Pelodiscus sinensis: one gene and its partners. The protein of the gene in region 1 interacts with the protein of each later gene in a pairwise test. Links are inferred from orthologs where the notes say so. Each region holds a gene or a part of one and is shown in the gene's direction. Other genes may lie near its edges. The genes, in order: C25H1orf94, RBM47, MAPK1IP1L and BOLL.

Region 1 (7,292 bases):
ACACATCCCCATCAATTGCTTTCCAAAAAAAGCACCTGGCAGCACGCTGAGTTGAAAGGTCTCCCTCTCTTTTACCAGGTGTGCCCAGCTCTGGGGACAGGCCTGCCTAGGACAGCCAAGTTGGCAGAAACTTGCAGGGTTCTTTGAAAGTGCATGTGTGTCTGTTCTAGTGCAGGCTGCTGTTAACCTCCACTAGCCACTGATCAACTTGCCTGATTACCTCCACACTAAGCTGGACAGGGGATTTTTGCCTTTCTAAGCAGCCAACAGCAGCCAGGAATGTTTGATCTACACTGCCACCCACAGTCAAAGCTCAGGCTCAGAACTGGCCAGATTCTGACACCTACGGATTAAACCTCTCTCGTCCGGCACCCTGGGGACCTGACAACTGCTGAACCAGAGAATTTGCCCAACTGGAGGGGGGAGGGGGGAGGGGGGTCAATAGTATCTAGCAGCTTTACCAACACTTCCCCTGCTGCCTGGGCTCTTAGAAGACTGTTAGGGATAAATTGGAGCTAAATCACAGCACAGAACACCAAGAGCCAGGACTGGTGGCTGTAAACAAACTTTATGGCAGGAAACTTGACCATACCCATGATAAGCAGGGATATAAAATCCTGATTAATCAGTTAACTGCTTAAATGTTGGGTTAACCTAACGTTTAACCCGTTAACTGACTGAAGCGGGATCTGAGCTGGAGCAGTGCCCAGCCCACAGGATTCCCAACCCCCAATCCCACCCTGGGGCTGACTGCTGCCAGTCCTCAGCCCCTTCCCCGCCACTGGCCCCCAGTTCTCAGCTCCCATCAGAACAGCCCCTACCTTTGGGGCACCCGGGCTCCCTGTAGACAGAGGCTGCTCTGGACGAGAGCAGCCTCTGTTCATGGTGGGCTGCTCCAGCCCGCATTCGTTACCAGTTAATCGGAACCAGTTAGTGCCACCAATTTAAGGTGATGCTGACCGGTTCACTGGTTAAACTTTCACATCCCTAATGACAAGTGCCGGCTAACTAAAGTCATGCCGGACCATGGATGTTGCCAGACCAGAGAGTGCCGGACTAGAGAGGTTCAGCCTGTATTATATCCTATCTATCATTTCCCCGACCAGAGCCAAAGCAATATAAATCACTGCAAGCCTTCCACCCCCAAAGAACACAATCAAACATAATATTTCTGAATGTCTGGGAGCCAAGGGTCATAGAAACATAGAACCATAGAACTGGAAGAGACCTCAGAAGGTCATCAAGTCCAGCCCCCTACTCTAGGCAGGACCAACTCCAAGTAAATCAACCAGGCCAGGGCTTTGTCAAGCCAAGACTTAAACACCTCTAGGGATGGAGACTCCACTACTTCCCTAGGTAACCCATTCCAGTGCTTCACCACCCTCCTAGGGAAATAGTTTTTCCTAATATCCAACCTGGATCTCTTCCACCACAACTTGAGACCATTGCTCCTTGTTCTGCCATCTGTCACTTGGCATGATTTACACCTATTAGGTCTTGTCTTCACATGCAGTGATGAAGCTGAAACGCTGTAGCCCATTAATGAAGATGCTACTATACCAGCAGAAGAGCTTCTGCCAGCATGGTAGTTAATCCACCTCCCCGAGCTCTGGTCTACACTAGGACCTTAGTCCAAAATCCCCAGACCCGTCCCCCATTCAAATAAGTAAGCAATGCTTCCACACTACCAAGGCTGTTATTCTGGAATACGGGGCCATGGAATTTGAACTCTGTACTCCTGCTTTTCATGAGGAATAATGCTATTCCCAAACTTGTACGTCCGAAATAACATTAGTGTAGACACTTCAGTGCCGCTAATTTGAACTTACTTGCCTCTGGGAGGCCTCCCACAGCTCCCCAGAGTACTTCCTGGGCTCTGAGTCCGAGGTAGTACGTCCATATTCATGGAGCCTGCCTCGGACTAATTTTGATGCTTTCCTGTAGTGAGGATACGCAAGGTCAACGTTGTTTAATCGGCAGTTCTTAAGTCAAATTTAGTAATTTCGAAAGAATTTCCTAGTGTGGACATGGCCTGAGAGGTGGTAGCTATGTCGATGGGAGACATGACCCTATCTACACTGGGTGTTAGAGGGTATAACTACATCGCTTAGTGGTATGGCTTTTTCATACCCCTGAGCAATGTAGTTATACCAATATAAGTCCATAGCATAGAACTGGCCTTAGTCCAGGTGTGGGCAATAAGATGGCAGCAGTTCATCAGGGTTAGCCACTGGCAGGCTGCTGCTGCTATATTTACCTGTGCCACCATAGATATGGGTGCTTGCAGCTCATCTATGGGATGCTGCAGGAAGTAGCACCATCTGGGACACCACTTCCTGCAGCTCCCATTGGCCAGGAATGGCGATCCGCGGCCAATAGGAACTGCAAGCACCCATACCTGCAGAGATGCAGGTAAATACAGTAGCGGCAGCCCACCAGGGGCTAACCCTGGCAAACTGGATCCGGCTCACGTGCTGGTATTTGCCTGCTGCTGGCTTAGTTAGTTCTCACAGTGATTTCCTGGTAGTAAGAAGCATGAACTCCATTTTACAGATTGGGAAACAGAGAGACAGGAAGGAGAAAGAACTTGCCCGGGGCACAAAGGGGATTAGTGCCAAATCTGAGAACATCACATAGGAATTCTGACATTAAGTCTCCCTTTAACTACTAAATGACATTCCATACATAGTCAGAGGTGGTTAGGAGTCTTAATTCATCTGGGCTGGTGAATCTTAAGAGTGTTTTTCCCAAACAAAAAGCAGCACAATCAACAAGTCTCCCTAGGGATATGAACAGACTTAGGATGAATAAAATAAATCCCAACATCTACTTTGTTGACCAACCACAGCTGCTGTGGGTGAAAAGAGCAGCAATTAGATGTCCATGCAGTATTAGCCAAGAGGCTTGTACATAGAATAATCTCTCTGATTATACAGACTACTGTCACCGTGACTTTTTAGATGCATGATAGACAAGTCCACTTTTTACTCTAAGCTAACGGGAGATGCACAGAGCTAAGATTTCAGAGAAAGGTGCAACAGCTGCAGTAACAAAACAAAAAAATCTATGCACAAGTGTTGCCCCTGCAGATGGGCAAAGGCTCTTGTACATGTAAAAATTTCACTTTTACCTGCCCGTGTTCTTTTGTTTTGCACAGACACATGGTGCACATGGAACCATAGCAGCCAAATGAATTTCTGCAGGTATAACCAGTGCATCTGAAGTCTGGGCTGGCTGCCTTCTTCTCATTCACATTCCACAGCCCTCCCCAACAGAAATGTGGTTTAACTGTCGCTGATAAGCCTGTCCTCAGGTTCAACATAGTTTCATAATTCTCTCACCTCCTGGCCTTAAATATCAGCCAGAACAGGACTTGGGAGCTTCCGCTGAAAAAGCTCATGGCCCTCTTCTGCAGAAGCAATACGATTCTTCATGAGCTGTGTCACTATTAAGAATCCGTTCTTCTGTCAGGATCCAGGTGCTCCAAACTGCAGTACAGAAATAACTGTACTGGGTGGCATTCCCAAGGCGGGGCTGGCAAAAGACGGAGGTGTACGTGTTGTACCAGAGCATGCTACCTAGTCCAGTATCCTGCATCAGCAGCCGATGTCCAATGCTTCAGAGGGACCATTAAGAACAAAATAGTGTCCTGAACAAAATCCTCAATCTAGACCCCCCTCCAAACTTTGGCAAGTTCTGAAAGTTGGTTCCTTGAGCCCATCTGCAGAACAAATGGAGACTTAGCTAGCTATGCTCATGCTTCTTAGTTTAGAGACACAGAAGTAAACCAGACAAGACAGCCAGAGCCCCTGGCTCTCAGACCCACACCAGAGTAAATCCTGCGGTCTCTGCTTCAGTTTATTTCTGTGAGAAGGATCAGGAGGGGACCTGATATGAGATAAGAGAAAGGACTCGGAGCAGAGGAGAACTCACCTCCTTTTTCAGTGGAGACAACGTGGGTGTAACCCTCTCATTGTCACAGGATACATTAAATACAAAGAACAGAGGAAGGAAAGAGGAGGGTGGAGTTAATACGTGGACCTGAGAATATATGGAGTTGGGGCAGGGTGGCGACCCCATGGACACCGGTCCTAGAGGCTGCCCTCTGCCTTACTTGGAGGATCTCACACATGGCTCCCTCTTCCCCATCTTCCTTTCAGTGCTGCTGGAATCCCTACCACTGTTTCCGGTTGTTGTCCTTCGTACCAGTTGCCAGGACCCAGGGATTCTATGGTTACCAAGTTACCATGGCTTGTTGCTTTTCATTCCATTCTGTACCCACAACGCCCCTTTCAAAAAGTTGTCTTTTGGTGCCTGGGTGGGAAAAGACTGAAAGATGCTCACAGGCGGGAGTGAGCTCCCGGGTCCGACAATCAGCTCCAAAAGCCCCTTTCCTTTAGGACCTTTCCCCAGGCACATCTGGATCCACCACAACACCCCTCAGGACAGCCTGGACAAAGCCTGCCACGAGATCTGGAAACGGGTACAAGGTCTGCCTGAAGAGCTCCAGTCAACGTCACCAGTCCTGCAGCCTCCCTGTCACCCAGTCTTGCCATCAGACCTCCTCAGAGGAGAGGGCAGCCGCTACCTGAAAGAGTGAGTGTTCTCCAACTATGTCAGAAAGAAGATCACTGATCAACTCCATGTGGAAACATTCACTTTCCAACACCCTTTCTGCCCTACAGTAGCTTTGGGACTCTATGTACAACCAGAGTAGGAAATCTCTCAAACTAGTTGAGATGAAACACTGTGTTTATTTTCACAGCATCAAGCCAGAGGGCAAAATTATTTCCTTTCCCTCCACACATTCATTTTCCTATGCAAAACGCCCCGTGATGCCTCGCCACATCTGTAATTCCCAAGCACAGTAAGCAGCTGCCGCATTCAGTTTCCCCACAGCAGTTTTTTTTAAATCAAAATATTTACAGTAAGAAGCAAAAGATGCTTTCAAAAAGCAAAGCAGAAAATTAAAATGTTATACTATAAACAGCTGATCTTTACAAAGGAGAGCTCAATTTGGCAGAGAAGGAAGGGAGGGGAGGAAGCACAGTTTTCAAATTTAAGAGGGACGTATTTATAGTAGTCTCCTGAAGCGGGACTGGGGGTGAGGGAGTCAAATTTGTAAACCCAGCAATTAATTAACAAAGGTTGGCAACTGTCCTAGTCTGAAAGTAAAAATGCAATAACACCATTCACAGTTTCACAGACAGGGCCCAGCCTGCTGAGATACAGTAAATAAGTAACGTTAGAAGCTCAAAGTGCTTTATAAAAGGTGAATTAGTATAATTTCCCCTTGAAAGCGAGACTGAAGGAAAGGAAATTAACAAAGGCCACACAGCCCAGGAATAGAACCCAGGCATCCAGGACTCAAACCCAGTGTCCCATCCTCACTAAGGCCATGTCTACAGTAGGCAACTATTTTGAAATTAATTAATTTGATTTAACTCTCAATTTAACAAAATTGAACTAGCATGGCCACACTATGGAAAAGCCTCAAAATTAGCGCAAGGCAGGTTTCATTAATGTGGACGTGCTACCTTGGACTTAGAGCCCCAAGAAGCAATGGGGAGTAATTAGTTTGAATTACTCTGCGGAGTAGTTATTTCGAAATACCAACACTGATGCGTCCACACTACCATTATTTTGAAAAAACTATTTTGGAATTAGCATTACTCCTGATGAAAAGCAGGAGTCCAGATTTTGAATTCTGCAGCCCGTTATTCCGAAATAACGAGCTTGGTAGTGTGGATGCTCTGCTTATAAATTTGACTTTGGAGGGGTTATTTTGAAATAAAGTCCTAGTGTAGACCAGGGCTAAATGTACTTAAATCTTGAAGGAAGACTCTTGAGGCTCGTTTATCCTCTTGTGACTGCGTAAACCGGGAGTAACTCCACCAAAGTAACTCCTGGTGCATAGCTGGAGTAACTGAAAGGAGAATGCAGGCCCAAGTGTCTTTATGAACCAGATGTTCATCACATCTGTTCATGCACTCATGAGAGGGGCTCAAATGTTATGGGGAGAAGGGAAGCACCACAGCCAGCGTGGAACAGCATCAAACTACTACTAACAATCTGAACTTTAATTCCTCCCCTATGTTAGGGTACGTCTAGACTACAGGCTTTGTCGACAGATACTATCGACAAAGCCTCTTTCGACAAAGAGTGTCTGGACTACAGCCAGCTCTGTCGACAAAGCAAGCCGCTTTTTCAACAGAGAGTCCCGACGCTCTCTTTTGAAAAAGCACAGCGTGGATGCAATAGCGCCTTTTGTCCACAGAACCCTGTCAACAAAAGGCGTTACTCCTTGTAGAATGAGGTTTACTGCCGTCAGCAAAACTGCTGCGTCTGTCGACTTACTGTCAACAGAACTCGGCGGTAGTGTAGACGCAGGTATAGTTTTGTCGACAAAAGTCCACCTTTGTCGAAAAAACCCTGTAGTCTAGACACACCCTTAGTGACGCAGACCCGTAAAGCTCCATGGAGTGGGGTGGGGTTTTTTTGGTTTTGTTAGCATTGAATTTAGTGGGTTCTTCAAGGGCAGCCAACCTAGCATAATTCCTTGCCACTGGGCCATGTAACTGCCCTGAAACTATCATAATTGGGGAGATCATCCTCTTCTCTCGCCCCTTTGTCTTGTTCGGTGAAACTGTCCACAAGAGCACCAGAGCTGTGATGGGGACGCCTGAACCCACAGAAACTGGACTGAGACCCATCAAACTCATTTCCCATGCAATGAGAGAGGCCGTGGGGTCCAGTGGACAGGGCACACTAAGCTTAGGACTCAGGAGAGCTGGGTTCTACTGACACTTCTACCACTGAGCTGAGGGGTGGGCTGTGGGCAAAAGTCTTCTCCCATACCCTCCAGGTGTTGGTTTTGTCTGCTGAGGGTAGGAGCTGTCTCTTGCCCTGTATCATACGGGGTCTTGATCTTGGTGCATGTACAAGTAATAACTGAACTGCCTTCAGGTAGGTTTTGGCTCCTGTTGACCAAATGCCAAGACCTGCTTTGCTCTCCTCACATGAATAAACCTCTTTGGAGTCACCACTGCTTCTCAACTGGGAGGCTGAGCAGGTGCAAACCCAGACCACAGTTTGGACACAGATCCTGGAGGTATCAGTGTCCTTATACAACTCTCAGGCAATCCAGTCGCTGGGAAGAGATTTTGTAAACCCCTGACCATCTATGCTGACAGCCCGCAAAGGCACACGAATCACCTGATTCGTCATCTGCAACAACACACGGGGCCAAGACGACTCGCAGTGACCTTGCTTGATTTCGCAAGCTTTTAATT
Region 2 (7,475 bases), on another chromosome or scaffold:
AAAACCTGATGTATGAGGGAAGGTTAAAAAAGGGGCATTTTTAATCTTGAGAAAAGGCTGGGGGGGGGGGGGAATCTGATAATAGTCTTCAAACATGTTCAGGGCTGTTAGAAAGGGGACTGCGATCAATTGTTCTCCATGCCCACTGAAGATAGGATAAGAGGTAATAGGCTTAATCTGCAACACAGGAGATTTAAGTTAGCTATTAGGAACATTTTTCTAACTTTAAGGCTCATTAAGCACAGAAATAGGCTTTCAAGGGAGGTCATGGAATCCCCATCATTGGATGTTTTTAAGAACAGGTTGGACAACCACTATCAAAAATGGTCTCTAGGTTTCCTTGGTCCTGCCTCAGCAGAGGGGGCTGGACATGATAACTTTGAGGTTTCTTCCAAGCTCTACATTCCTGCGATTCTATGATATTTCAGAAGGATGTCCGATAACTGTTGAGAGATAGCATGTATCTAGCCAGAATTTTCAGTTACAATTGGCACAATCAGCTTTGAAGGGCATCGTCCTCAATCAAGTGCTTTTTCTTTTAAGATTAGCGATCATAGTCTAATCATGCTGCACTTAACTTAATTCACTTTGCTGTGAACTCATTAAATTCTTTTCTTTTAGTTAGAAACCCTACCATGGCTTGGCAAGAGAACAGGAAACCTGTGCTCACTACTAGAGAGTTCTGAATGCACTTGACTCATTTAACCCGACAGAGTGATGGGTGTTGCAGCAAATTACAGCACATCTCGTTTACATTCCAGCACTGGATCACTTTTTGCTTTGCCCTTAAAGAGCTTCTCACCATCAGATTTACTAAACATCCGTGTAAGTTGGACAAATAGAACATATAGGGAGAAAAAAAGAGACTGATTCAGGTTGGGCATTAAGGTCTCAGATAAATTGTTTTCTGTTATATCTTTACAAATTCAATATTTGATCATAAATAGGGGCTTTATCATCATCTGACTCTTCTACAGATGCCAAATAAAGAGCTAGAATTTCTGGATGTAGCCTTCACCCACCTAGTGTCACATTTGTGAATATACACTTGCAAATTCTTCAAAATTTGCAAGGTTATTCTAGCAGCAATTAGCTGCTCAAATATTTTTGAGGAATGGTTGTAAGTACAGTTGACTAACAAGCACACTTTAATTGAAATAAATGCTTCTGAACAATTTTTTTCTCCCATTATTTTCTCAATACTACTTATGACTTTCAAAAATGTTCAGCATCTCTGGGGTCAAAAATCTTCCAAATTTGTATTCCATTTATTCCTTTCTGAGTTTTGATGCAGTGGGAAAAATACACTTCTCCTGTACAAACATTCTATCACTAGTCTATTTGAGCAGTGCTACAGCAAAAAAGCAGCTGAAGTTTAAACCTAGCATTTGACATGACTGTAGACTTCTTAGTGGGATGGTGTCTTTCATAGAGGATATATCTAGACTACATGGCTCCGTCGACGGAGCCATGTAGATGAGTTTACTAGACATAAGAAAATGAAGCGGTGATTTAAATAATCGCCGTTTCATTTACATCAAAATGGCTGCCACGCTGTGCCGATCAGCTGTTTGGTGGCACAGCGGGGCAGTCTGGAAGCGCTGTGGTTGACAAGGGAAGCCTTTGTTGACTGCTCTGGTAAACCTTATTTCATGAGTCATACCAGAGTGGTCGACAAAGGCTTCCTTTGTCGACCGCGGTGCATCCAGATTGCCCCGCTGTGCCGCCAAACAGCTGATCAGCACAGCGTGGTGGCCATTTTGATGTAAATGAAGCAGTGATTATTTAAATCGCCACTTCCTTTTCCTATGTCTAGTAAACTCATCTACATGGCTCCGTCGACGCAGTCATGTAGTCTAGACATACCCTGATTGGGAGGAGGTGGTTTTGATTATACAAAAATTAGGAACATTGAAACTATGCACTGAGTAAGTGCATAACATTCATTCATTAGCCGCTCATTTCAAGACTTCAAATTTTAGGCCATGTCTACATCTACCCAATGCCGTTTTAAAGGTGCATATGTAGCCATGTTGTGCCAATGGGAGAGAGCTCAACTGTAGACAGAATAAAAACTAGTGGAAGGAGTAATGGTAGCTGTGTCTGCAGGAGAGAGTCTCCACCACATAGCTTGTGCACACAAGTGCTTATGCTGGCAAGTGCTTATGTAGCTTAGAGTTGATTTTTTCACACCCCTGAGTTACAAAAGTTTTGTCAACATAAATACTAATGTAGACATGGCTTCAGTATGTGATTCTTTGGTATTATTATGCAGGTTGAACCTCTCTAATCAGGCACCCTTAGGACTTGTCCGGTTCCAAACCAGAGAATTTTCTGGGTTATGGGAGGTCAATATTGTCTAGCAGCATTATCATCATTTCCACAGCTTACTGGGCTGTTAGAGGACATATAGGGATAAATTATTGCTAAATAACAACACAGAACATTGAGAGCTAGGACAAGTGGCTGTAAACAAACTTTATGGGACAGCAGGAAACGTGGCCACACCCATGAAAAGTGGACATACACCTCACTAAAATCATTCCGGACCATGGATGTTTCAAGACCAGAGAGTTCTGGACTAGAGAGATTCAATAATATGGGCCTGATCCTGAAGTTCTTATTCAAGCAAAACTCAGTAGGAGTCACTGTAGCTTTTGCTTACATAAAAATTAACAGAGAAATTTAGTTGTACAGGACAGAACGTGCAAAACAATGCAGGTTTAGTATCTTCCCAGGTGATACAGCTAGCAGCATTTTATGATCACTTACAAATATGGTTGCAGAATATTGTCAACAGTAGCTTTAACTCTCGATACTATATACCTTAATTTTTTAAATTTTTATGACCCTTCATTATTCTCCTGTTTGAATTCATGTTGTGTGAAAGAATTATAGGGCAAAGTATAGGCAAACTCTCATAAATTACAAAAATAATTCGAAAATAAAACTTAGCTACAGAAACATTCCTTCCCCAAAACAAGAAAAATAATGCAAAGGTTCCATAGTAATCTGTACAAAAAGCAAACATTGTTCTGTCAAATGTTTGCATGTAAATGATTAAACAACAGGAGTATTAAACTTTTCACACAAACTGAACTGCCATTGAATAAAAGACTCAGTCTAAAGAGAAGTAGAAACATTTTTCAGTTGCATGACAATGCAAGCAGGAATTAGTACTTTTTAAAAATTTTTTGATGATGTGTGCTTCCTGTTCCAGTTTGTTTAGTCACAAGTACTGAATTATCTTTCTGTTGGCTGATTGCATTTACTATAAACAGGTTTTGTGCTTTGTTTAAATACATCAGGCTACTTAACCCTTGCACAGGCAGGTAGAGTAAAAGAGGTGGAGAGGAAAAGTTTACTCTCTGGCATTGCTGTTTCTTTTTAGGGTTAAAATACAATTCTCAGAGAGATCACAGGGAGGTTAAAAGAGGGCTTGGCTGTTATTTCTAAAACTAGTTTCTCTTTTGTTCCTTTTCTAGAAACCAGATGTAACTGCAGGTCAGAAGGGGGTGACATGAGGCACTTATTTAACAAGCACAACCACTTATTGATGAAACTTGGATCAGAAAGGCTTGTGGGTTTCTCCTAGTGCAATACCTTCCTGTACTAATTCAAGCCATGCTATGCCTCAGGTGAGTGCTATTAATTTGTTTTCCCTTTAAATCTTCATCTCTCTATTGAAAACCTACGTTGCTTAAAGGGGGGCGGGGTTAGAAGATATTCAAGATTTAGCATCTTGTTTCTAAACCACTGTATGTAGAGATCAAGCAGGTGGTTCAGCAAATAGTGGCTCTGTTTTAGTGACGATACATTCCCTCTCTGGGTGTTCACATTGGAACTCCATATTTATTTATTTATATTAAAAATGGCGTGTCAAGCAATTCTTAAATTGTTTCCAAGTGTCTCTCTGACGTCAGCCTTTACATCTCTTCAGGTTATCCATTCTCTTCCCCCCCTTAAAAAAACAAAGGTATCTGCTCTCCTAAAACAACAGGAATGCTGCACTGGCCTTGAGCCAGCAAAGGCTCAGTGAAGAGGATAAAATTTCAGTTCAGATTTACGGGAAGTTGCTGGTGTTGGGAGTAAAAATCTGGTTTGGTGAGTTTAAGGGCAGGGAGTATACAAGAAACAACCTTGCTACTGTGAGCAGCGAGAACAAGAGAGGGGGGAGGAAAAAAGAACACAGAGATGAGACACTTAACATTTTCCTCTCAGTCACAATTTTACTGAGTGCTCCTGAGTCCTGAGACATCGCAGACTTTACCAAACCAGTCGGCAAAAACTGAGTCCTGGTAAAGCAGTATCTCAGCTTAACTTTCATGCTTTATGTCTAGTCCGGAATTTAGTCTAAAAGAGTGATTTCTGATTAGCACTCCTGTTAATAGATTGGAATGTGCAGCTTAGGTCAGTGAGAATCAAGGGTTTTAGCTTAGCTGGTATTACTTTCAGAGAGACTTGCTAGAAGTATTTCAGTGTTCAGCAATTCTGAACGGCAGAGTGTGAAACAAAGGGGTTAAACAGCTTTGTAGGGAGTTGCTCAACACTGCTCAATTAGCAGAACATTAGAAAAAGTAAGAAGATGCATTAGATTGCTGCCCAGAAACGCTTTCTTCTCTGTGAATGGTGCTTAAGTGTAGAAACTGTCTTCAGAAACACCATACAGGTACGTAATTTTTTTGTGATCACTATGCTATCCCTGTGACCTTGCTGCAGGGTCTAGTCTCTTGTGATTGTTTTAAGAGCATGGTGGGACATAAGGTTGTGGTTTTTTTAAAGTGTTTAAAATAATGTCAGTGAAAAACAGAAACAAAACCACAATTTGAGGTAAGCTTTGACAATTCCTTTAAAGTGATTGAACAATGGACTAGATTCTTTAAAAACTTATAAGATTAGAGAGGAAAAGAGAGATATCAAATAAGAGAGGACTGAAAAGTGATCTCCGGTATATATGCTATTTCAGAAGTTTAGCCAATATCTTTTCAGCTGACATGTTAAATAGTGTTGAAGTAAATATGGGGGGGGGGGGAAGGAAGGGTTGGTTTAAAATCAGAGTCTGTTCACAACAGGTAGCAGTGACATAATTTTGATGGATGACAAATTAACAGGATACCTGTTTGGGATCTCTGATTAGAAACAATTAAAATGAAGAGAACAGAACTTTTCTAGTAATGATTATTTCAAAATAAAATACGGGTAGATTCCACCTTTCTTTGCCTTTTAGTTATATTTATATGCTGTTAGATGAAAATTGTTGGGGCATGTCTCATTATGCACATAAAAAGAAACAGTTTGTTTTACAAGTTAAAATTATACAGTTCATTTCCCATTTTGGCTTTAAAATAAAGATTGGGGCAAAAGTCACAGATATTAAAAGTTGGATGTAGCAAACCAAAAGATTAGTTTTTGAAGTCTGCCACCCAGCTGAGGTCACAGAGCAGAATATGGCCCCAGAGGCTAGTTTGAAACTAATAATGGCGTCTTTATGAGCCACAGTTTTGTGTAATAGTAACTTGGACAATCTTGCAATATATTCTTTACAAGTCTAATGCTGAGTTCATATGATTGTAAGGGGGAGAAAAGAAAACATACATCAGGCTGTTACAACAACTGCGGAGCAAGCAGTTGTACTTTAGGACTATTGCCAGAGGGATCTGCAACATTATATACTAAACATCTCCAAGTACTGCAGGTGTCAGATCATAAAGGTGAAAGGTTACTTGTGGTATTAAGCAGAGCCTGGTATAAAATTGGAAAATGGAAAGCAATATGCACTCTTGAGAAAGATAAACTCCAAATAGCAGTATATTTCTGGTGTTATCTTATTTTTCCTAACAGATTCATGTTTAAATTACTATCAAGGCTAAAAATCAAATTATACAGTCAAAATAACATTAGAGTCTGAAAAATAAATTAAGGGAAAACATTTTGCTTGTATTCTCAGTTTCTCTCACTCTTTTATATCCTGTCACTGGGCCAGATTCTTCTTTCACTCATGTTTTACCCAGTGAAATAACTTCATTGCCTTCAATATAGCCATTCTTGAGATACAATCTATCTGCTAGATGAGAATTGGGCCCTCTTTTCTAACATGTGTCATGGGCTATCAAACACACACAACAGGGCAGAGTAGCTTTGGAACTATGATATTTTTAAAACATAATTGTCATGTAAATATAGCTCCTAATAGAATCTGTACCTTAATTTTCCAGTCCAGTATGAAAAATTAATAATTAACAAACATTAGTGGTATGTGCTATAATTAGCAAACTAAACAATTAACACTTTTGGATAAAAATACTTATTTTAAGGAGCCAAGATGGCAAATGTTTATGGGAATATTGTTCCAAGAGAAATTTGGTCTAAGGACCTGATCCTGGTAGGATCCCATTCATGGAGCTCTGCTGATTACTATAAGACTTTTCATAGGGGCAGGAGTCCTGCTGCATGGAGATAATGGCAGGATCAATGGCCATCCACATCTCCATTGTTTGGTGTTGTAATTTGCTATTCTACACATTGTACAGAAGTTGTATTATACTGATTCAGTCAGTGTCATATGATAGAATGCTGTCTATGAAAGCAGTATGAGTGTCTGATATCAGGGAAATTCGTATGATTGTGCTCATTAGGACTTTTAAATGTCTGATGTGCTCTCTCTGTTAACATGAAAATCAGCCTAGAAAAAAACGGGAAGCAGATGTTGGGGTCTAGTTTGAGCTGGCTGTCAGTGTAAATATTAACAAAATGTATACGCTTTACTACTTAGTTTGAACACTATTAATGCTATTCTCAACAACCATTCATACTAATATTGGTTTGGAATAAGAAGTAGGTATCTTCCTGGACTCAGGTAGTTGTCATATTACACTCATCTGGATGTATAATGTCATCTCCATTTTATGAAATTCTATTTTCCCCTGAGTTCCCATGACTGAGTTCTCAAATTAAGAATGATCCAAATTGCTAAGAAGTATACTAAGAAAGTATCTGCATTACTACTGACAAACACTGGCAGAGATTTAAGGGCCAAATTCTGTTTCTACTGAAGACAGTGGAAGTTTTACTATTGATTTCTATGGGATCAAGGAGAAGGATTTGGCCCTTGGTGAAGAAATACATCTGCCAGTCCACATAGTTATGTATGAAGATAAGTTCTCTTGCAGGACATTTACATCTCAGTATTAGAGGTGAACCTACAGCAAAAGCCATAATGTGAACACTCCGTGCTCTAACTATACGTGGGTCACTTGGAATTGTGTTCTGCATCTGGCCTATCATTTTCAGTTTTCATGTTTCTAAAATTGACCAGTGCATGCTATAGACTTGTAGTAAGGACACTGCTCATTATCTTTCCCAGTGAGAGACTTAAATTAATATTTCTTTTTTGTTGTGTGTGTGGTGGTTGTTTTTAAAATAACATGGTTCTGGGTACACCTAGCTCCTGCCAAGATCAGGCACATCTTCTCAGT
Region 3 (7,409 bases), on another chromosome or scaffold:
ACAAATCGCTTGGTCATTGTCTTCAGTCCATCCCCTCCGGGGTACCTGGTGTCGGCCGCTGTTGGCAGACAGGCTACTGGGCTAGATGGACCTTTGGTCTGACCCAGTACGGCCATTCTTATGTTCTTATGTTCTAGGCTCAGGGCTCAGGGTCGGGGGTCTCACTGGACCAACTTGATTTTCATGCAAACATGCTCCTGGGTTCGCGTGTGGCCTTTGGTGGCCAGGCTCGCAGCTATCCTGCCCTAGACGGCCGCATTCCTGTGCCTAGTGCGGAGATCATTGACATTGGAGGCCTCCCCCCAAACCTGGATGAGGTCCACAATCTCTGCACTAGACCAGGCAAACATCCACCACTTGCGGCCCCGGGCAGGCTCCTGGGAGCCGCCAGCCTGGTCCTGGGAAGAGGCGGAGGGCTGGGTGGCAGCGGGTGGCTGGCTCGTGCTGTGCCAGGTGAAGGGTCTGCTGGCTGGGTGCTGGCAGGCTTGCAACTGGCACGAGCACCATTGCCAGACCGGGCCCCCTTAAAGGCTTCAGGGATGGGACGGGGGCAGAAGAGTGGCCACCAGGGCAAGCTGGGAAGGGCTAGCCTCCAACTAGTTCGAATTAAGTGGCTACACAGCCCTTAATTCGAACTATTTAATTTGAACTAGGCGTTAGTCCTCGTAGAATGAGATTTACCTAGTTCAAATTAAGCGCTCCGCTAGTTCGAATTAAATTTGAACTAGCGGTTTGCATGTATAGACGCTATGAAAGTTAATTCAAACTAACTGCTGTTAGTTCGAATTAACTTTGTAGTGTAGACATACCCTAAGGTACTACAGGACTCCTTGTCGCTTTTGCAGATCCAGACTAACACGGCTACCCCTCTGATACTTGACCTTTTGCTAGTGATTTCAGAGGAGAGCAGGACCTTGGAAAATGGTGAGAGGCATATTTATGACAACTGTAAAATTCATAGAACGAGGGGCCCAGTTCTTCAGACGTGTGTGTACATATCACGTGAGTACATATCACTGAATTACTCAGATACAAAAATGTTTGCAGAACCAGTACTACAGATTGGAGGGATGGGCAGGAGAATGTCCTCCTACCTAAATGTATCTCCAACATTGTGATATAATTTTGAATAGCACATGTCTGGATTTACGCTCATTAAGATAGCAAGAGCTATGTGAATAGCATAGTTCCAGCTACAATATATGGCACACGTAATCAGATTAATAAATTCCATGCCCAAAATGGCCCATCCTAATCATCTAGCCGGACTGCCCGTATTATCAAGCAAAAGAACTTCTTCAAAATAATTCCTAGAGCTGATCTTTTTCAAAAACACCCAATCTTCACTGAAAAATTGTCTATGATGGAGAATCCACCATGACCCTTGGTAAATTGTTACAGTGGTTAATTAATCTGTTAAAAATTTACACCTTATTTCCAGTCAGAAGTTCAACTAGCTTCAACTGCCAGTCTAGCTTCAACTGCCAATCATGGCTCATGCTATCCCTTGCTCTGCTAGACTGAAGAGCCCATTATTAAATATTTAATCCCCATGTAGGTACTTATAGACTGTAACCAAGTAATACATTAATCGTCTTCCTTGTTAAGATACATAGATTGAGCTTCATGAGCCCTAGATGGATAATGACAGTAGGAATGTAAAGGGATAACCTCAGAGGGGTAGCTGTGTTAGTCTGTAACTTTAAAAAAACGATAGTCCTGTAGCACCTTTTATATATATATCATGAGCTTTCGTGAGCAAAACCCACTTCCTTAGACAAGTAGCCCCCTGTGCCTAGCTGGGCCCCTCCCCCCCCCCCATCGTGCTGCAGGCAGGGTCTATGCCACGGTTAATTGGTTAAACATAGTGTTTAACCTAGGCCTGGGCAAAATACAGCCCGCAGGCTGAATCCAGCCTGCCAAGCCACTGGATCCAACCTGCGGACTCAGCAGGAAGCCCCAGGCAGGTTCCCCTGCTTGCCCCGCAGCTCCGCACACCACTCAGAAAAACGGCTGCAGGACTGTTTCTCTTTCAAAACTGTGATCCTGGAGGAGAGGGGGGAAGGCTTCGGGCGCTGCCCCCGCCCCCAGTACAGTCCCATTGGCCGGTTTCTGGCCAGAAACTGGCCAATGGGAGCTGCCTATTTGAATAACAGGCAGCACATGAAGCACCATACCCCCTTCCCCTCCGGCTCAGTTATTCACACAAGCACATGGCCCTGCAGCCTGTGAAGGCATGGGGCAGGCAGGCTGGCTGGCTGGCTGAGAAATGTTTTAAGCTCTGCAAGCATTTAGCTCTGCAGGCAGGCATGCTGGGAGGGCTTCTGGCTGGTAAGTCTCCTGGCCAGAGCCTGTCTCTGGCACCCCAGTCCCTCCCTTTCCCAACCTTCTGCCCTCCCCCCCCCCCCACTCAACATACCCAAATCCTCTGCCCCCTCCTGCACCCATACTCCCTCCCATATCTGGCACTCCAATCCCCTGTCCCAGATCATAATCCCCTTCTACTCTAGGTCACAACCCAAACTCCAGCACCCCAGACTCCTGCCCTAGGTCATAACTGCCTCCTCCACCCAAATTCCCTCCCAGACTCCACTCTCTCTCCTGCACCCTAATCCCTTACTCCAAACTCCCTTCTGCACTCAACCTCCATCCCAGACCCGGCACCTTCTCCATTAATATCATGGAAGAGTGCAGCCCACAACCACTTTCCAAAATCTTGGAGTGGCCTCCCATCAAAAATTATTGCCCACCCCTGGATTAACCGGTTAACTTTTTAAACAGCAGTTTGCATCTCTAAATGACACTTACCCCCTTTGTAAAAGAGTAAGGTCTTTGGCTGGAGGATAATGTGATCTTATCTATTTATATTGATCCTTGACATTTTTCTGATAAATTTTTAAATAAAACACACCGTTTCACTAAAAAATGATGCATTATATGAAAACAATATTTTTGACTAAATTATTCACATTTTCTTCAAGCCACTAACTTCCACCTCAATTGTATTTTTCTTTCACTACCCAAATCCCCAGCATTTGGGGGGTTAAATCAGAATGTTCTATTTCTGGTTACTTGGCGCTTGGGTTGTGTGTTTTCCTTCCTTGGCTGTTGCAGGTTCATCGGCTTTTTCCCATTATATGTGCATCAGTCATCTGACTGATTTCACTCTAACAGATTTACCTGGCATTTGTAATTTAGCAATTCTATCAAATATATTTTGTTTCTTCATCCCTACAAATGCTTATCATTTGCTATGTTTTCACAACAAAGGGCTATAGTCTATTTGGTTTCTAATAATATTGTCTTCTTGTTTTCAAATCTTAAGCATTGATTTGGGTGTGCCAAAATAGAGCACTACTTTAAATTTCTCCATTTCATCTCTTTCCTATAAAGTTTATTGAGAACAGGATGTAACCAATTAGCCAATTAACTGGTAAGAATCACTCTTATCAGCTGATGCTTACCGGTGCCCCTGGGTCCCAGTTAAGTGGTTAACCAGTTAAACGTAACACTTAACTGTTTAACCCAGATTTTACATCCCTAATTAAGAAGCAATCCTACTGCAGCCTCATGCTATGTTTCTGGCTCATCTTGGTTCACTCTCTTTCAGCATTGGCTCAGTTTTGAGGACGGTGCTTGATTTGGTGCTTTTGGTCTCGTTTCTGGCACCACCAAATCCTCAGGCTGCTTTAAGCCATGCTAAAAAGAAGCTGCATGCCGAATGCGGTGGTCCGAACTCTCGCTGTTTAAGAAGGATTTCCTGAATAAACGGGCAAACTCTTGAAAGCAGATAAACAAGGAGGAAGCCTGTGGCACCTTGTAGACTAACCGATTTATTTGGTTCAGAGGGGTAGCCGTATTAGTCTTAAAAAACAAGGAATGAACTGGTAGCACCCCAGACCACTTGTTTTTTAAGTTTATTCTGTACAGATTAACTCAGCTACCCCCGAAGCATCACAGGTGTGTTAGTCTTTGGTGCTACTAGTCTATGTAAGTTAAGTTTAAACGTGTCGATGGAATCATGAGCTTTCCTGGGCACAACCCACTTCTGGGGCACAAGCTGTGGGGGGGGGTGGGAACCCCACAGGGGCTCAGACCCTTTTGTTGCAATTGTATGTGTGTCTGGGCTTGTGGCAAGGGCTTTCCATGTCACGTGTGGGGAGCCACGTCCTGCTGGCCCCAGCCTGGGACTCTCTGGCCTCCTGCCTGGCCCTGCAGAGCCCCGCCCCTCCCAGCAGCACTTCCCCCCGCGTTCCACTAGGGGCCGCTGCGGCGCCCGCTCGCGCTCGCACCGGCACCAACGGCAGGAGGCGGGAAGGCGTCACGTGAGCCATTCTCGCGGCGGGAAATCTGGGCCCGCCTCTCGGGCCAAGGGGGCGGGGCCCGTGAGCGCCTTTTGTCGGGAAGGGGCGGGGCCTGCCGGCGTTGACCTTCCTGTGCGGGAGGGCGGAGGCGCGCTTCCGCTTCCGCGTGCCAGCCTGGGTCGCGCTGCTGCTGCCGGGCCGGCTCCCTCCCTGCTGCCCTCTGTGTGCGCCGAGCGCCTCCCCCCCGCAGGTAGGGAGGTGGCTGGGCCCGCGCCGAGCGCGCCTGGGGGGGCTTCCGCCGGGAGAGGCCTGGAGCCGCCCAGCGGGCTGAGGGCCGGGGGGGGGTAAGTGGCGACCCCGGGGCTGGTCCTCCCCCGTCCTAGCGGCGGCCTCTGTGAGGGGCTGAGGCTGGGGTGGCGCCTCGGGGTCCCTCCGGCGGGTCGTGCCCGGGAGGCGGGGTCCGGCGCCGCAGTGACGTGGGCCCGGGTCGGTAACGCAGCGGGTGGCCCCGCAGGGGTGGACTCGCGTCACGCCCTCCCTGGGCGCCTCTCGCCGCGGGGCCGGGCCCGGCCTCTCCCCCGGGGCCGTTTGTCCCACTCACGCGGCTGTTTAAAAAAAAAAAAAAAAAAAAAAAGCAGGTGCCCGCGCGCGCGGCCATCGTGTCCCGCAGCCCCACGCCCGCTGCTCGTCGTGGGGCCCGGGCGCGCGGCTGTGGGCCCCTCTCCCGCAACACGGCACAAAGGGATTCGGCGAGTGCGGCAGCGCCGCTGCATGACCTCAGGGGCCACTTCGGGAGGGAGCCCGTGGATCTGTTGCCTAGTAGCCGCTCCTAAAAATAGCATTGCTCCTAGTCGGTGCTGGGGTCTGACACCCCGTGAGAAAAGCAAATAGGCCCCGTCCGAAATGTGTTGCGCTGGGGATGGAGTAATAGCACCACAATCCGGAGGTTTTTGTCCGGGAAAAAGAGCATTTTGGCCTTTGCGCTCAAAATGTTCGTTTAAATGTGTGTTAAATTGGGCGCAAGGACACCTTGAAGAAAGCCTTTGGCAAGTCTGTTTCCTTCCAAAAGACAGGACTAGGTAGCACTTTAAAGACTAACAAGATGGGGACTGAATACACCAAGACCATCCCTGACAGATGTCTTTTTAATCTGTTCATAAAAAACTCCAATTACAGGAACAAAAGACTGGGCTATGAAGCACTGTCATTCATGCTTACATTTGACACTTTAGTATGGGCCTTAACAAAGATGCTAATTATCTCACCCATTACAAAATGCAGGACGATGTAGCACTTTAAAGACTAACAAGATGGTTTATTAGATGATGAGCTTTCGTGGGCCAGACCCACTTCCTCAGCTTTTTGATCTGAGGAAGTGGGTCTGGCCCACGAAAGCTCATCATCTAATAAACCATCTTGTTAGTCTTTAAAGTGCTACATCATCCTGCATTTTGCTTCAACTACCCCAGACTAACACGGCTACATTTCTATCACCCATTACAAAGATAGCTTCCCCAATTATCACCCCCTAATATCATTATTTCACAGACACTAACCTTCCCCCCTCATCCTCTCCCACGCCGTTCTAAAATCTGATTTGTCAATTTTATATGTGTTCACTTTTTTTTTGATTGTATCACTTTGGTATATATGGTTGTGCCAATTTTCTTCCACAAATTGATCTGAGGAAGTGGGTCGGGCCCACGAAAGCTCATCATCTAATAAACCATCTTGTTAGTCTTTAAAGTGCTACATAGTCCTGTATTGTTTCAGCTACACCAGACTAACACAGCTACATTTCTATCACTGTTTCCTTCCAGTGTGACTTTAGTGCTGATCCCATGAGATGTAATACTTTTATAACCTGTTTGACTTCGTATACCCTGACGTTCTGATTTTAGAATAAACATTGCATGATATTATCTACACGTGAAATCGTCTGAAGTATGAATTAACCAGTTAAATTTGTCAGTGAGGGTTCTTCATCATAGATGAGTGGGTTTTGCTGGGTTTGGGCCTGGCACTGCATCATTTCTATCAGTGATCTGGATGTGTCACTGGTAAAATTTGCAGATTGATAGAGTGGTAAATAATGAAGATAGAGAACGCCTACAATGTGATTTGAGTCACTTGGCAGCTTGGGCTTGTTTAAAAAAAAAAAGGGAGGGTTTCAGTAGAACTCTGCATATAGATGCATATGTAGGAATAAGGAATGTAGGCCATACTTATAGAATGGGGGGAAGGGGAGGAACTGAAGTCTGGAAACCAGTGACTTCAAAAAGGATTAAGGGGTCACAGTGGACAAGCACTTGTGTATGAGCTCCCAGTGCAGTGGTGTGGCAAAAAGGGCTAATCCTTCCATGTATAAATAAAGGGATAGTGAGATGGCATATGGAGGTTATTTCTGTATACACTGTTATCTTCCATGTGTTAATCCCATCATATGGGGCTGGTACTTAAAATCTTCCTCCAGATCTCTGATACCATAATCCTCTGTCACACCACATGCTAACATGTCTGTTTATGATGCCCCACCATTTCTTTTTTGGCCTGGTCTCTTTTCCTTCACTCTTTATCTGTTGGACTTTTAACCATAGAGTTATCATTACTGTGCTTTACGTTGCTAAAAACCATCTAAGCCTGTATCTCCATCTTTTTATTTATGGGTGTGTTAAGTTTTTCTAATGCACATGTTCCTTACATGGTCTTTTTTGTTTACACTAAGAACATAAGAACGGCCGTACTGGGTCAGACCAAAGGTCCATCTAGCCCAGTATCCTGTCTACCGACAGTGGCCAACACCAGGTGCCCCAGAGAGGGTAGACCAAAGACAATGATCAAGCGATTTCTCCTGCCATCCCTCTCCAGCCTCTGACAAACAGAGGCCAACGACACCATTTTATCCCCTGGCTAACAGCCTTTTATGGACCTAACCTTCATGAATTTATCCAGCTTCTCTTTAAACTCTATTATAGTCCTAGCCTTCACAGCCTCCTCTGGCAAGGAGTTCCACAGGTTGACTACACTCTGTGTGAAGAAGAACTTTCTTTTATTAGTTTTAAACCTGCTACCCATTAATTTCATTTGGTGTCCTCTAGTTCTTCT
Region 4 (7,673 bases), on another chromosome or scaffold:
TGGGATTAGGAGTAGGCCAATGAGGCTTTGTAGGATGTTAGTTCTAGTAGTCCATAGCCATGTTTTATTGATCATTACGCCCAAGCTATGTCTACACTTACACAATCTCGTACCAGAAATATGCAAATGAGGCTAAGTGTGGAATATCATTGAGCCTCATTTGCATATCTAATGAACCACCATTTTTGCAGAAGAGGCTCTTGCGCCAGAAGGAATACCTACACTGCCCCTTCTTGCGCAAGAAAGCCCCTCTTGTGCAATGCCGCTACCCTGATTATTTTCAGGAATAACGGCATTGCACAAGAGGGGTTTTCTTGAGCAAGAAGTGGCAGCGTAGATGCTCCTTCTGGCGCAAAAGCCTCTTCCACAAAAATGGTGGCTCAGATATGCAAATGAGTCTCAGCAATATTCCATGCTTAGCCTCACTTGCATATTTCTGGCACAAGATCACGCCAGTGTAGACATAGCCCCAGTGTATGTCTACCATTGAAGTGCTACAGTGGCATTGCACTGCTGTAACTCTACCTACACTGGCAAGAGGGATTCATCCATCAGCATGGGCAATCTACCTCCCATAGAAGCAGTAGCTAGGTCAACAGAAGAGTTCTTCTGTTGACCTAGTCCTGCCTACATGAGGATCTAGGTCATCTTAACTAACCTGTTCAGAGTTATGAATTTTTCACATCCTTGACCAAACAGTTAAACCCATATAAATTTCCATGTCATGGGGCAGACTCACCGCCACGGCACCTCCTGCCAGTAGCCCTGGGAATTAGCTTATTAGCCTGCAAGGTGCTTCCCTTGGGCTAGAATCTCCTCATGTCCTAACACCATGCTCTCCATTCCAGACACTGTCACTCCCAGACCACAGCATCCCCTTTAGGACACTGCCCTCTGGCAATGCCCACTCTAGTGTCCCTTTGTCCCCTTCCAGGGGGTGTTTATCAGTCTCTATCATCCTCCCTTCCCAGGGAACCCATAATTTCCCAGTACTCACCTTGCCTCTGACCCACTGGTAGTCTTCAGCTAGCCTCTGCCACAGGTGTAAACTGCAGTCTGCAATGGCCACTCATTATTGGCAAGGGAATGTGGACTTGCTGCCTCTTCCTATCCTGGCTACCCCCCTGCAGACCTCAGGCCCGTCAACTTGGGAGTGAGATCAGACTAGGGCTCCCCAACTCTAGCCACTTTTTCCCAGCACTGCTCTGTCTCAGGAAGCTACCCCCAGCTTTGCTGGCTGGCCTCTCTTGTGCCCTCCTGGAGCCCTTAATTATACAACCCACAGCTGGGCTGTAATTGGCAATATCACCCTCAGCTGTGGGCTTTGCTCTCAGCCCTCTTTCAGGACTGGGTTTTAGCCTTAAATGGCCAGTGAGGGTGCAGTTGTGCCATTACAATCCAGTGTAGACCAGGTTTTGAACTCCATATTTTTAAATCTAATCTCTCACATGACAGGATATATTTGAATTATAAATCATGGCTTGCAAGTGTGGTCACAACCAGAAAGTTTGGATGCTAAATGCATCTTGTATTGTAGAACTCTGCCATCAAAACCAGTGAGTCGACAGCCTCTGCTAAGCACTGACGATTAAAATCAAGAAAACTTCTATTTCTTTCAATTGTCTGTTGAGTAAACGTAGCTACTAGGTAGGAGACTACACCGAGCAAAATATTGGGCTAAGGTAGACTGAGGTCAGAAGAATGTATGACTATCCCCATTAACTGAGTCATATGAGAGACCCCAGATCAGCCAATCATTGAGGTAGAGGTACTCATGTTTGATGGCCTTGTCTCCTTCAGCGAATCACTACTACCGGCAGGCATTTGATAAATACCCACAGAACTGTTGGCAATCCAAATGGTAGAACTCTGAACTAGTAATGAAAAATGTTGTCTATAAAACTTAGAAACTTTCTGTGAGCTGAATGAATTGCCTCATGAAGGTAAGCATCCAGCAAGTCAAAAGCAGGGAACTTATGAATGGGATCTATGAAAGATATTATAGAACAGGTGATCTTGTTAAAACTCCTGAGACCTAAAATCAACTTCCATTTATCTTTCTTCTTCCATATGAGGAAGTAATGGGGGAGGGAATAGAACACTTTGGCATGACGTTCCAGCAACACTTTTGTCACTCAGTGGAAGCAAAGAGTTTCTCCGTACACAACCAGAGGAGGATACAGAGTTGGTAGCTACTGAAATTGGATTGAATAGCCTTTTTGGTCAATTTCTAAGAGCTACTGGCTAGTCATAATGATAGCTCGGGCATTCGAAAGAAGGAGGAGATTGAAAGACAGGCCATTGCCAAAAAGAGAGGAGAGAAAATTCTTTGAAAATTTTTTGGGATTCTCAACTGTTGTGTTAAAATATCCTTAAAACTGACATGGGTTTCCAGCCCGCTCATTCTGCATTCCAATTCTTACTCTCAGCAGCTTTGTGCAGAACCATCAGCTAATTTGATGGGAGTGTATCTTGTAAACTAGTGGTTTTTAAACATTTTTTCCTCATTATCTAGTTGAAGAAAAGTGTTGATGCCCGTGACCCAGCATTATTTGACTGGAGTGGGGACTCTGGGATGGGTCTGATGATGATAGCTTTGGGGTGTAAAAAGAGGTTCTGGCTTTGGGGAGGTTCAGGGCTGGGGCAAGAGGGGCTTACTTTGAATAGCACGTGATCAGTGGTGCAGCATAGGTGCTAAGTCGGGCTTCCTGCTTCTCCTGGAACCACAGACCATGCTGCACCCCAGAAGCAGCCAGCAGCAGGTTCCCAGCCAATAGGAATGTGGAGTTAGTGCTTGGGGCAGAAGCAACGAACCCTGTGTGCTTTCCACCCCCCACCTAGGAGCCAAGCCTGCTGCGCAGTCTGTGATGCTGGGACAGCTAGGTAGCCTGCTTAGCACTCCCATTGGTCACCACATTCCTCTGCAGCAATGAGATCCAGTACCTGGCATTCCATAACCCAGTTTCGACCCATAGTTTGAAAACCACAGTTGTAAACCCTTTGACTAAGGGCTCATCTAGATGATGCAGAACAGTCGGAAGAGGATATGCAAATTGTGGGAATTTGCATATCTTCTTCTGATTGCATTTTCAAAAGCAGAGCTATCGAAAGTGAAAGTAGTTTAGATGCGACTTTTTCGGCGAACCTCCCCCTTTGTCAAAAAGAAACTCTTCCTCAAAAAATGGTTTACGCAGCTTTTTGACAAAGGGGAGGAGGGTTTGCTAAACTACTTTTGCTTTCGAAAGTGCGATCAGAAGATATACAAATTCCCGTAGAATTTGCATATCCTCTTTTGACTGTTTTGCGTAGTCTAGATGAGCTGTGTGTGACCTCAGATTTATACCATTGTTTTATTCAAGTCACTCTCCTGGCAAAGCATCTGCAGGTCAGTCTAATCCTGTGTGTGCCACCAGAATTAAGGGTTAATAGCTTTTGAAATATTTTATTGTACAGCTTGTTTTTTATTATGTTTACTAGGTGAGATCAGAGGATGGCCATTTCATGTGTATCTTAAATATGTTTTTTCCCCTCAGCTCTGAGCAAAATGCATTTTAAGAGTTGGAAAAGTTTAAAAATTGGTAATTTGGTGGGGACTATCTCCCAAACCTTTGGACCCACATTTGTATCACTAATTCTACCCAGCTATTGATATGCTTCAGCAAATTTGCAAGGCCATTTGTCTATGGGTACGTCTAGAGTGGCAAGATTTTGCGCAAAAGTGGCTGCTTTTGCGCAAAATCTTGCTGCCTGTCTACACTGGCTGCAAGTATTTGCGCAAGAACACTGACTTTGTACTGTACAAAATCAGTGGTTCTTACACAACTACTCTGACGCTCCCGCTCAGGGATAAGCCCTCTTGCGCAAGTATACTTGCGCAAGAGGGACAGTGTAGACAGCCAAGTCAATTTCTTGCGCAAGAAAGCCCGATGGCTAAAATGGCCATCAGAGCTTTCTTGTGCAAGAGAGCGTCTACACTGGCACGGATGCTTTTGTGCAAAAGCAAATCTTTTGCACAAAGGCACATGCCAGTATAGACGATCTCTTGCGCAAATACTTTTAACGGAAAAACTTTTCCGTTAAAAGCATTTGCGCAAAATCATGCCAGTCTAGATGCAGCCTATGTGTTTCCATGTTGAAGCCCTTTGAAAAATCAGTTCTAAACCAAAAAGCTTCTCAAGCTTGAAGTCACTACTACTCCTTTATAACAACAAAGTGCCTGAGCCCTGGCTACGCTACAGCATTCAATATTGCTTATATCAATAGCAAGTTACATGTGAGTATTTGGGAATGATGGATTTTACTTCAGTCCCCCCTCCCTCTCCCCTCCGGTGATGTGTGTTACAGTTTAAGTCTTTCTCCCTTTATGAATGGAAAATGCAATTGAAAGGATTTTTGTATGTTATATCTCCTGGGTAATGGGGATGGAAAAGGACTTTGATATATATTAGGATTGTGTGGGGACTTTACTAGCTGTTTCAATAAGGAATCCCCGTGGAGCTGTAATTTTCAATAGTTACACCGCCCTTCCCTACTACTATTCTTATATGTTTGTGTATCAGCCAGCCTGCAATCAGTTTTTTGAGAGTGTGTGTAATGAGGGTTTGCTGGTGAGATGATACTCACTGAGGGGGAGGGGAAGAAGGAATGTGTGAGTGCAGAAACCCAGAAGCACACAGGGAATGGAGGAGCAGCCAGCAGCTTTGTGCTGCCTTCTCCTGCTACTCCAGGCCTGGAAATAAGAAACCAACCCCTACCCAGCTGCAGCTACTGGTGGTGCCCCAGGGTTTAGTAACTCACTCTGGGGAGGTGAGTAAGCAGCCCTCCCATTCCCTGTGCTTGTAGGGTCTGTAAAGGGGTTTGTGTGTGGTGCTTAGGCGTTGGGCATGCCTGTCTCAGAGCAGCAAGCTAAGCTTTCTGAGTGACTGACAGCACCAGCAGGTGCAAGGGGTGGTGGCGAGAGGGGAGCTCCACTTCCCTACACATTGGTCTCTTGTAACTCAGTGACTGAGCTCCTTTACTGGGGTGGGGAGTGAAGGGAGGATTTCAGTGGGACTGAATGGAAGGGATCAAGAGGCGTGCTGTACAACGGGAAAGGGAGGGCGTGCTTGTGTGGAAGCTGGGCAGAGAGAAGATGACTAAGCATTAGCAGGGGGGCTAGGAGGACCCCTTGAGGGCGGCATTGGCCCGGGCTGCAGGTGAGGGATAGCAGTGCTGGGGGAGCAATGTTGGGGCAGAGCATGGAGGAGGGCTCTGTGGGCTGGTGGGGGAGTAGCTGCGCGGGAGCCCTGAGGACATGCTGCTTTCGGCGCTTCGTGGCGAAGGACCCACGTGGGCAATAGAGTCCGGTAGCCCCGTGGAGCCTCGGGAGGAGGAAGCGCGAGGCAGCCCTGAGGGGCGGGCGGGGGGAGCAGAAACAAGTGACCTCCCGCCTCTCTTTCCCCCCCGCCTCCCCGAGCCGAACCCTAACATCAATCTCCGCCCCCGCCCTCCCGCTCTGTGTCGCCCCCTAGCCGCGCGCTCGGCAGGCCGGCGAGCCCCTCTGCCCCACGCTCCGTTTCCCGGGCCCGCCCGCCCCGAGGTGACTTGCTTCGGCTCTGTGTGTGGGTTTACAGCCAGAGCGCCTCGGGCTCGGAGCTGCCGCGGCGTGTGGAGGGAGCGGCGTGCGGGGAACGTGCTGCGGGGACTTTGAGGCCGCTGTGAGGCGGGAGATGGAGCCCGACAACGCGGTGAGTAGGGGGGGGGGGGGCTGCGTAGCCAGGCTAGTGAGGGGACAAGCGGGGCCACAGGCCTGGCCACTCCGACTCTCCCTGGGACCGACCCAGCCTGAGGGAGGAGTCGGGTGGCTCCTGGGGAAGCCGCCTCAGGGCCCGCGCGAGGGGCTGTGAGTGATCCCCGCTGGGTCTGGCGAGCGCGGGCTGAGGGGCAGCTCGAGGGGCGGCGGCCCCGTTCGATAGCCAGGCCTGTGTGAGGGGCGCTCTGCTCCCTAGGCCGAGCGCGGCTTTCCCGCCAAAACCGGCAGGGCGGCCCCGCCCCGCCTACTGCTCCTGCGAGCCGTTCGCCCCTCCCCCAGCGCGAGCTGTTCCCCGCCGCTCGAGCGAGCCGTTCGCTCCCCTCCCCCCGCCGCGCGCCTTGGCCTCGCCCCCTCCCCCCATCACATGTCGCCAGCGTGGCTGCCTGGCTTTGGCCGAGAGGGCGGGGCCGTTGTGCGGCGCCCGGGATTTTAATGGGGGGGGAGCTGGTGTGAGGAGCTGCCAGAGCCCCCCGGGCTCCCCGAGGCCTCGTTCCCCTTGCTGGCTCTGGGGAGCCCCAGTGCTGCTTGTTTTCCTCCCCCCATGCAACTATCCTGCAATTGCATGAACCCACTTGGCTTGGCATTAGCCTGGGGGGAGGGGGGGGGAAATGGTCCCTCTAAGATTTTCCTCCCACGAGCAGGGAGCGTGTTGTCTTGCGCGCTAGTACGGAGTTCACTGCACTTGTTCGGATGTGCCACTGTGGCACCCAAGAGATTAATAAATATCTTACAGTCCTCTCCCTTTTCCCTCTGCTGTCACGTCTCCTGCTCTCCCCTGGTGCCTACTGTCCCCCACCCCTCACTCTCCTCTGCTGTCCTGGCGCCTGCCCGTCTCACTCCCCTCAGCCCTCTGGGGACCTACCCGTCTCCTGCCCCCCCCCCCCCGTGTTCACTCCTCTTCTAGCCCCCCACTGGTCACCTGTAGCTACCCGTCCCTAGCCCATCTCCTAACATCTCCCTCTTCCCACCTGCCCTGCCTCTCTACTCTGATGCCCATTCCTCCCCCTCCATGTGTCCACCCTTCTACTTCACCCCCACAATCTCCTGGCTCCTTCCCTTACCCCTGCACCTTCCTGGTGCCTCCCCCTTCCCTCACTGCCCTTGCCCTCTTTCTCCTTGGTGCCCACCCCTCACCATCCTTTGCCCCAGTTCTCCTCATGCCCCTCTGCACCCTCACACATGATTTGCTCTATCCCCTGCCTTCCTTGTGCCCACCCCTCCTTTTCAACTTGTCTTCTCCAGGCACCCACTCCTCCCCTCTCCTCTTCCTCCCTTTTGCCCCCATTGTCCCTCCTTTTTCCTCTCCCAGTATCACCCTATCCCTTCCCCTCTCCCAAGCCCACCAACACCTCCCTTCCACTCCCCCTCCTGTCTTTTTCCTCATTGTCTCCTCTTGCCCCCCTGGCATTTGTCTCTCCTCCACCCTGCCTCTTAGTGCCTGCCCCTTTCTTCTGCCCTGCCCGCTTTCTCTCAGCACAAGCCCCTTCCTCTCCTCACCCCCATCTCCCTCTTAGTTCTTCTCTTGCCCCCTTCCCTTGCCCCCTTCCCTCACCTTCTGCCTTCCACATGGAAAGCAGTTTGCGGGGCTGGAACCGGGCTGTGATGCTATTTTTATACTGTGGTCCAGCCCCCACAGCCCAGGACCCCATGCCGGGGTCCTAGTCCCGGTGAGCTGCCCAGCTCCAACTGGAGTCATGCAGCAGCCACACAAGGCCCATTTTGGTGAGGCTGCCTTGGCTGGAAAGTGCCTCTTGACACCAGCTGGAGCCAGGGCTACACGCGGGGGCCAAGACCATGGTACTAAAAATATCACCATGGGTGGCCTCCACTACAGTCCCGAGCGCACCCCATCCTGCAGTGTCCCTGCTGGGCTCCATGCAGC

What was found.
Region 2: the proteins of C25H1orf94 (region 1) and RBM47 interact in binary tests that used the Homo sapiens proteins (3 or more experiments, as listed by UniProt). The two-hybrid records come from large-scale screens. The link is inferred for Pelodiscus sinensis from reciprocal best matches to the Homo sapiens genes C1orf94 and RBM47.
Region 3: the proteins of C25H1orf94 (region 1) and MAPK1IP1L interact in binary tests that used the Homo sapiens proteins (3 or more experiments, as listed by UniProt). The two-hybrid records come from large-scale screens. The link is inferred for Pelodiscus sinensis from reciprocal best matches to the Homo sapiens genes C1orf94 and MAPK1IP1L.
Region 4: the proteins of C25H1orf94 (region 1) and BOLL interact in binary tests that used the Homo sapiens proteins (3 or more experiments, as listed by UniProt). The two-hybrid records come from large-scale screens. The link is inferred for Pelodiscus sinensis from reciprocal best matches to the Homo sapiens genes C1orf94 and BOLL.

Annotation. Positions count from the first base shown.
Region 1 is NC_134735.1:5,911,874-5,919,165, forward strand, and holds the start of C25H1orf94 (uncharacterized protein C1orf94 homolog), read left to right. Parts: upstream 1-4,284; 5' UTR 4,285-4,336; coding exon 4,337-4,596; intron 4,597-7,292.
Region 2 is NC_134715.1:92,180,962-92,188,436, forward strand, and holds the start of RBM47 (RNA-binding protein 47), read left to right. Parts: upstream 1-4,463; 5' UTR 4,464-4,626; coding exon 4,627-4,669; intron 4,670-7,475. UniProt on the Homo sapiens protein: Single-stranded RNA-binding protein that functions in a variety of RNA processes, including alternative splicing, RNA stabilization, and RNA editing. Functions as an enzyme-substrate adapter for the cytidine deaminase APOBEC1.
Region 3 is NC_134714.1:9,266,595-9,274,003, forward strand, and holds the start of MAPK1IP1L (MAPK-interacting and spindle-stabilizing protein-like), read left to right. Parts: upstream 1-4,398; 5' UTR 4,399-4,554; intron 4,555-7,409.
Region 4 is NC_134717.1:71,754,242-71,761,914, reverse strand, and holds the start of BOLL (protein boule-like), read left to right. Parts: upstream 1-4,660; 5' UTR 4,661-4,806; intron 4,807-5,612; 5' UTR 5,613-5,708; coding exon 5,709-5,726; intron 5,727-7,673. UniProt on the Homo sapiens protein: Probable RNA-binding protein, which may be required during spermatogenesis. May act by binding to the 3'-UTR of mRNAs and regulating their translation.